Linked DNA regions of Cricetulus griseus. The protein of the gene in region 1 interacts with the protein of each later gene in a biochemical or structural test. Links are inferred from orthologs where the notes say so. Each region holds a gene or a part of one and is shown in the gene's direction. Other genes may lie near its edges. The genes, in order: Arfip2 and Arf5.

Region 1 (3,908 bases):
ACCACCCCTCTATCACCATCTACCTTTCCCTTTGATTTCTCTTCTTTAGATTTGACTAATGTAGGCCTTCTGACTTGCCTTGAAGACAAGAAGAAAACCCTTCTTTGTTTAAAGTCCTTATTGCTGATTTCACAAAGACAGGAAATATTTAAGATGGTAAACTGGGGAAATGATTGAAATTCTAGACAATATTCCCACATTCTTACAGGCTTATCTTTGATCTCCTAAGAATTGGTGGCTAAAGCCTATTGTGGTGCTGTTTTCTTCTTCCTCTTGTTGTCTGATATCACATTCTTCCCCTAGATGCAGCACAATTCTTTTTGTATTACAGCTCAGAAGAAAACTAGTTATTATGCAATATATATTCAGGCATTTGAGTTAGGCTCAAGGATAGCCACTGAGAGCTCCCCTTTTGGAACCAATTTCCCATTGCTATTACTAACCTTAAAACTATGTTTTTGCTGGGGATCTGAGAATGCTGAGTTTGTCCTACTACATTACAGAAGGCAATTTCTCAACTGCCAGGGCTGAGGGGAGAAGATAGGCACTAAATGGCAGAATAAAGGTTGGTACCAATAAGTGGACATAAATAAATTCCTGCCCAGAAAATCAACCAGAGTAAAAACCCGGTTTATTGGCTCCAAGAAAAGGAGCAATAGTGCCCAGCTTTCAGGCTCAATCTTTCTGTACAAATTTCGACAAGCCCAAGGTTCATAGAGGAGCCCATCCAAGCACCTTCTCTCCTGGGGCAGGCGATGGCTAGCTGCCTGATGGCGAGTCTCTGGGTTGTTCTGCAGTAACACCTGGCACGGCCGAGGCAGCCTCGTAGTCCGCGATGCGGCGCTGGACAAGGGCGGGCATGAGGTGGACGTAAGCGGCCATGAGGCGGTGGTTAGAATGGATGAGCTTCCCAGCACAGCTGTGTAGACAGGCCTCCTGGAAGGAAGACAGAGGTAAGCAGAGACCAAAAGGGGTCCTGTCAAGCCCTCCTCTCCGGGGCCCCAGCCTAGGGGTGAGGTCATGGGAGACCGAGATGCAAACGGGGGGTGGGAGGTGGACACGTCACGTTGTCAACCTCTGGGGTCCCCACAGTCCCCACCTCCTCAGCGTCCAGAGCTCGGTGGTGCAGGCTGGGCACACAGCGCTGGAAGCACAGTTCTGTCATCCGATTGTAGACCAACAGGAAATCTCGCAACTAAGAGAAAAGCGGATCAAGGCTTCACCACCGCTGAGGGTTCCTGGCGTGCGCAGTGCAGCCTGCCTTCCCCACTGGGGGTTCTTGCATGTACCCCAGAAAACAAACCGCACGTCTAACCCCGAGAACAACTTAGCTCTTACTCACGTTTCTTAGTTGCTGCTGCTGCTGCTCCATCACGCTCGGGGCACGCAGCCCACTTTACTTCCTCCCTGGGGGCGCGGAGTCACCCCGGAAGTAAATTCTCCCTAGTCACCAAGAGCTTCAAGGCGTGGTTCCAGTATCGCCCAGCCCATGTCTGCTAACGTCACCTCCGCCCTTTTGCTCTGCGACGTGGCCGGCTTCTTCTGCCCAGAGGGCACGTCACTTCCGCCGAATCTCTGACCTGCTGCTAAGATCGCGACGGGAACTGGAACCCGAGGTCCCCGCGCGGTCCGGCCCTCGCGCCCTGAGGGGAAGAGTGGCCCGGCCCAGGTGAGAAGGACATACTTGTACGAAAGGAAGTTGAATGCACGAACCTGTGCGGAGGGCAAGATGCCCTGAGCCCTTGGCAAGGATGAGGACACACCTGATGCCCAGGTGTGTGGGGGGGTGGTGGAGGGGACCTCTCACATCTGGAAGGCATAAACTGACTTTGGAAGGGACTGCCTGTGTCCTGGGAAAGAAGCTTTTAACTGACACCGGGAACACACCAGCTGCTTCAACTAAGGCCTGGTGGGGAGGGCCTGAGGGAGGCAGGTGCATGAGATGGAGAAAGGAGAGACCATTTGAAGGAAGAGGGGAAGGAACATCAAAGGATTTGAAAGACCAGGGATTGCAGAGCATGCTTGAGTGGCAAGTGAGCATCCGAGTCTAGGAAAGGGTTTTGCCTTCTGGTAAACATGCCTATGCAGGGCCAAGTTCCCAAAGAGCACAGACATTCCCCTCTGGCCCTCACTGCTGTAATCCCATTGCCTCAGTATCTGACGCATAGTAGGCACTCACTAAGTGTTTGTTGAGTGACTGAATGTGTAAAGGTTACTAAAGGTGAGGTTGGGGTTTGTGAGAAGACACCCAAGGCTTTGGTATACATGCATCTGTAGAAATAATGTACTTGGAAGAGAAGAAATACACATCTCCAGGAAAGTAGGGGCTGATCTCCAGGGACACCCAAGTCCTAACAGACAACCCCTGAAACCTATTAGAACACAGGGAAGGCCTCCTTGTTCTGGAGTGCTGGCCAGTTTCCAGAATTGTCTGTGTTGGGCTTTACAGCGTGCTGGGGTGGAGACCTTGACTCCAGTACCTTCCCTAGCCATGACGGACGGGATCCTAGGGAAGGCAGCCACAATGGAGATCCCAATCCATGGAAATGGTGAAGCTGGGCAGCTTCCTGAAGACGATGGGCTGGAGCAGGTGCTTCTGTTTGATTCTTCTAATTGTTTCAATTTAGCAATCCTGACTCTTGAATGTTTCGCTTTTCCCATCCCAATAGACTTCATTTAGTTAGTCCTCCTTATAGTTTTCAAGTCGTCATTATGATTCTATACAGACTTTACTATATACTGTCTCTATCCCCAAAATATTTCAGCCACCCCCATGTTCCTGAAGTGCCCCCTCTTCTCTGATCTATAGGACCTCCAGCAGGTGATGGTGTCAGGACCCAACCTCAATGAAACTAGCATTGTGTCTGGTGGCTATGGGGGCTCTGGTGATGGACTCATCCCCACAGGTATGAATGATAAGAGACAGGAGGCTTGAGTGGGAGGGAGACTAGGAGGCACATAGAACACATAGGAAAGCGTGAATCATGGATTGGAGAAACTTGAGAACTGCTAGTGTGAAATCCATAGACTGTCCAATCCCAGATCAGCTCTCTGAGCTCATCATCTGCTTCCCACTTGCCATTTAGATTCTAGCTTTCTCAATTGTCTTTTCTTTCCCTGGTGCCACCACCTGAGCCAAGTTAAGACCTATAAGTCACAAGAGCTCTGCAGCTTAAGGCTGATTTACAACTTTGTGAAGCTTCTCAGAGTTTTATAAGAGTCTTATACTGACTAAAATTCTACTTGGAAATACAAACCAGCTTCCCTGTTTTCTGTGCCCACCAGCTTTGACCCTTCCAGTCCCACTCATCATGTTTGCTTCTGTTTCTTCCTTCCCTGTCCACCCAACAACACTCCTACACGACCCCAGGAATGCCAAATACATACATTGAGTTGCTTTGGTTTTCGGGACCTAAGTCCCCGTTCCCCCTAATGAGCAGAAGAATTCAGTTATCTAGATTTCCTCTTTTAGAGAGGTCATTTCATGTGCTGGGAGGGAAGGAAGTGAGGTCACAGAAGTATCTGATTGTATGTGAGAGAAATTGGTGTTAGAGAACTTGATCCTTTAGGGTCTGGCCGCCATCCATCTCACAGCACCTCACCTTCTGGCCCTGGTGATGAGGTGGCCCGGGGCATCGCCGGAGAGAAGTTTGACATCGTCAAGAAATGGGGCATCAACACATATAAGGTAAGAGTCGAGTGCCTCTTCCCAGAAACTCTCCATGGGTACCTTTTCCTTTTCCCCAGATCTTAATACATAGTCTTTTGCTATGACTAAGAGAATGGGGGTGTTGGAGTAGTTACTTGTCGGGGTTGGGGTGGAGTTTAGATTTCTGACCTCCCACCCACTTCCCAATCAGTGCACAAAGCAGCTGTTATCAGAGAGATTTGGCCGAGGCTCCCGGACT
Region 2 (3,908 bases), on another chromosome or scaffold:
ACACATTAAAAGATTTAATCTCAAGAGGACACCGTCGAGACTCTTGTGGGGCCTGTAAGATGGCTCAGCAGTAAAGGCACTTTCCACCAAGCCCCAACGACCTGACCAGAGTTCTATCAAGAGAACCCACATGGCCGAAGAAGAAAACACATCCCACAGGAGGTTGTCTTCTGACTTCTACACCACGCCCCCCCCACACACACACACACACACACGAGAAATAAAAGTGGGGAGGGGCTAAAAAGCAAGGCTCCTGTGACATTGTGAAGGCACCAAGGGGGCGGGAAGCCTGTGAGGAGACTCAGGCATAAAAAGAGACTAGTGAAATAGTAGTGACAACAGGGATGAAGAGAGTATTTCTGTTCTAAGAATCTTCTCGGGAGGCCAAGGCAGCCGCATCTCTGTGAGTTCGAGATTAGTCGGGTCTACACAGCAAGTCCCAGGCCACCCAAAGCTAGTGACGTAGTGGGCACAGTGTCTCCAAACAAAAGAGAATAAACTACTCTGAGAATTTTTTTAAAAGATTTATTTATTATGTATACACACATCAGAAGAGGCCACCAGATTTCATTATTGATGGCTGTGAGCCACCATGTGGTTGCTGGGAATTGAACTCAGGACCTCTGGAAGAAGAGCCAGTACTCCTAACCTCTGAGCCGTCTCTGCGGCCCCTACTCTGAGAATCTTTTAAAGCTATTTTTCGAACCTGTCAGGGCCTTCTTAGGAATTCAAGTCTATGACCGAAGAACATAGCAAAATCCCGCAGTGGTCCTAAGACCCAGGATTACTGCGCCCTTTCCAGCCTCGGCCAGGGAAAGGTAGCCAGGCCTCGCTAGACTTCAGTTCTTCCGCAAACGTGCTTGGGGGCGGGGCTGGGGCGGGCCCGGAGGGGCGTGGCCACGTGACGTCGGGCGGGCCCGGACGCGCGGAGGCGGTGGCGGCGGCGGCGCCTCCTCCTTCTGCTGTTGCGCCCCATCCCCCCGCGACCGGCCGGTTCCAGCCCTCACCCCGCGTCCCTGCCCGCGCCCCCGCCCCGGGCCCCACCATGGGCCTCACGGTGTCCGCGCTCTTTTCGCGGATCTTCGGGAAGAAGCAGATGCGGATCCTCATGGGTGAGGCAGATCGAGCGCGCGGCCCGGATGGGGCGCCGGCCCCGCCGCAACCCTCCCGCCCCCGCGTCCCTCCAGCCCCGCTCACCTGGTACCCTGACCCCGAGACACCCCACCGCCCGAGCCTCTGGGGCTGCGCTCGGGTGCAGGCCGGGATCTGCGGTGTCCGCCCCGGGCCTGGAACCCGGAGCTGGGGCCTGGGTGGGGTGACGCTTCCTCCGCCCCAGCCCGGCTGCTAAGCAGGGAGGATTCCGCCCTTGGAAACGACTTTTCAAAGGAACGCGGCCTTCCTCCCGGGCCCCCCACCTCTCCTGCCCCTCTCGCCCCTCGGCCGCTTGGGCGGCAGGAGTTGGCACTCGCCACCCAGACTGCCCTCAAGGCCCGGAAGGTGGAGAACGGCTCGCACCTGGAGGCTCTCCCGCTCTCCGCCCCCATCACCATCAGCTGGCCAGTCCTCTCCCTGTCCCTGGTCTCTAGGGGGCTCCCTCGCTCCCGTCTCCATTCTGTGCCCCTCTCCGTTGCAGTTGGCTTGGATGCGGCTGGCAAGACTACCATCCTGTACAAACTGAAATTGGGGGAGATTGTCACCACCATTCCCACCATAGGTGAGCCCGGGAACGAATGTCGCCTCGGGCCTTCTCGGGGTCTGCTCCTGGTGCTGCTGAGGCCCTTATCTGTTCCTGACCCTGACACCAGATACAGCTACTTGAGAAGTGGGTCACGGTATCTCTGCGTGCCTGCTGGTGCCTGAGGCGTGGACCATGAGCCTAGCATATCTGTTGACCTCCGGTCCTTCTGGATTCTATTCCCATTGGCCTTGGTCATTGCCCCCTGAGTTTGTGTGCCTGTAGAGATCCGAGTGGGGTTTTTTTGTTTGTTTGTTTCTTGTTTTCTTGTTTTTGTTTGTTTGTTTTCAAGACAGGGTCTCTCTCTGTAGCCTTGGCTGTCATGGAATTCTCAGTAGACCAGGCTGGCCTCGAACTCACAATCCACCTGCCTCTGCCTCCTGAGTGCTGGGATTAAAGGTGTGCCACCACTGCTGAGCTGATCCAAGTGGTTTTAGTGAGTTCCTTTCAGGACTTTTTTTCTCTCTCTCTCTCTCTCCAAAAACATTGTCTGCAGGCTTCAATGTGGAAACAGTGGAATATAAGAACATCTGTTTCACAGTCTGGGATGTTGGAGGCCAGGACAAGATTCGACCTCTGTGGAGGCACTACTTCCAGAACACTCAGGTGGGGTGGGGACCGAGGGTAGAGGGACAACCCCAGGGAGAGGGTGGGACGGGCCTGGAATGAAGTATTGGCTGAGTCCTGGGCCCTCATCCCTCTCCCCTTAAGAACTCCTCCTTAAGAACTCACCCTCATCTTATTCTGGGAGGCAGGGTTCTGGGCTATGCTGCCTCCTCTAGCTCTCAAACAGAACATCTTTTTGTTTGTCCCCTCTGTCTTTGGGGCACAGATCCTTAATAGAAATGTACTGGATGAGAAAGGCTCATACCACTAAAGATGGGAGAAATGAGAAGAAGCCACATTGGGGCTGGGCGTAGGTGGGCGTGATCTCTCCTGCTTCCTTTCTTCCTTCCCACTCAGGGCCTCATCTTCGTGGTAGACAGTAATGACCGAGAGCGGGTCCAGGAGTCTGCTGATGAACTGCAGAAGATGGTGAGTGTCCAGATCAGAGAACTGAGCTTGGTGACAAACAGTTCTCTGAGGTGGTATGGAAGTCCAGTACTCTGTGGGTGGGGAATAGGAGATTTTTGTGGCACTGGATGAGTTGCACCTCACCCAGTTTGGCAGGACTTTTTCATTTAAATCCCTTTCTGTCTGAGTCTAAGCAGTTGGGGAGAGGAAGAGGGGTTATCTGTGGTAAAGAGAAACAACCTCTCATGTTTCTTGTTTTTCTTTGTTTTTTAATGTTCTGCATTTTGTTTGAAGGCTTTCTGGAGGTAAAATTTAGGGGTAAAATTTAGGGGCTTTGCGCTCATTTATAACTGCCTTCTATTCAGCAATAAGCTGCATAGTACTCTGTGTAGGGAACCCTGCTACAACATAGTCAGCAGGGGGCCCAGGGTCTTTGCAGCCATAGTTCCACCCTGTCTTCTCCCGTCTCAGCTGCAGGAGGATGAGCTTCGGGATGCCGTGCTGCTGGTGTTTGCCAACAAGCAGGACATGCCCAATGCCATGCCTGTGAGCGAGCTGACTGACAAGCTGGGGCTTCAGCACTTGCGTAGCCGCACGGTAAGGATCTTGTCCCCTTTGCACTGGGTCTGGTCTTTCTCAGGATCCCCAGGCTAGACCAAGGTAGAAAGGTACTCCTTGTCTTCCCTGATGCTGATCTACCTCTCTTTCTTCCTACAGTGGTATGTCCAGGCCACATGTGCTACCCAAGGCACGGGCCTGTATGATGGGCTGGACTGGCTGTCCCATGAGCTGTCAAAGCGTTAGCCAGCCAGGGGCAGGCCCCTGCTGCCCGGAAGCTCCCGCGTGCATCCCGGGATGACCAGACTCCCGGACTCCTCAGGCAGTGCCCTTCCTTCCCACTCCTCCTCCCCACAGACAGGCCTCTGCTCCTGCTCCTGCCTGCATGTTCTCTTGTCGTGGGAGCCTGGAGCCTCGCTCTCTGGGCACAGAGGGCTCTGCTCTCCTGCCTGCTGGGACCTGTGGATGGGCTTCCTGGCCAAGGCCCCCTCTTCCAGGGGAGGAGCAGGGATCTGGATTTAATTTCATTTTTTTTTTTTTCTGTTCTGGGTGTACCCTTGGGGCCACGTTTGGGGGGAGGAAAGTGAGGGCTCCGGGTGGT

What was found.
Region 2: the proteins of Arfip2 (region 1) and Arf5 form a complex in vitro, tested with the Homo sapiens proteins (2 studies listed by BioGRID). The link is inferred for Cricetulus griseus from reciprocal best matches to the Homo sapiens genes ARFIP2 and ARF5.

The regions. Positions count from the first base shown.
Region 1 is NC_048596.1:94,063,081-94,066,988, forward strand, and holds the start of Arfip2 (arfaptin-2), read left to right. Parts: upstream 1-1,519; 5' UTR 1,520-1,669; exon of another isoform or gene 1,670-1,774; intron 1,775-2,449; 5' UTR 2,450-2,491; coding exon 2,492-2,590; intron 2,591-2,809; coding exon 2,810-2,906; intron 2,907-3,569; coding exon 3,570-3,688; intron 3,689-3,860; coding exon 3,861-3,908. Other genes in the region: Timm10b (mitochondrial import inner membrane translocase subunit Tim10 B), read right to left, coding at 760-936, 1,100-1,195, 1,343-1,372. UniProt on the Homo sapiens protein: Plays a role in constitutive metalloproteinase (MMP) secretion from the trans Golgi network. May have important functions during vesicle biogenesis at certain cargo subdomains, which could be predominantly utilized by secreted MMPs, such as MMP7 and MMP2.
Region 2 is NW_023276806.1:199,367,664-199,371,571, reverse strand, and holds the start of Arf5 (ADP-ribosylation factor 5), read left to right. Parts: upstream 1-947; 5' UTR 948-1,045; coding exon 1,046-1,112; intron 1,113-1,633; coding exon 1,634-1,714; intron 1,715-2,231; coding exon 2,232-2,341; intron 2,342-2,698; coding exon 2,699-2,770; intron 2,771-3,220; coding exon 3,221-3,346; intron 3,347-3,466; coding exon 3,467-3,553; 3' UTR 3,554-3,908.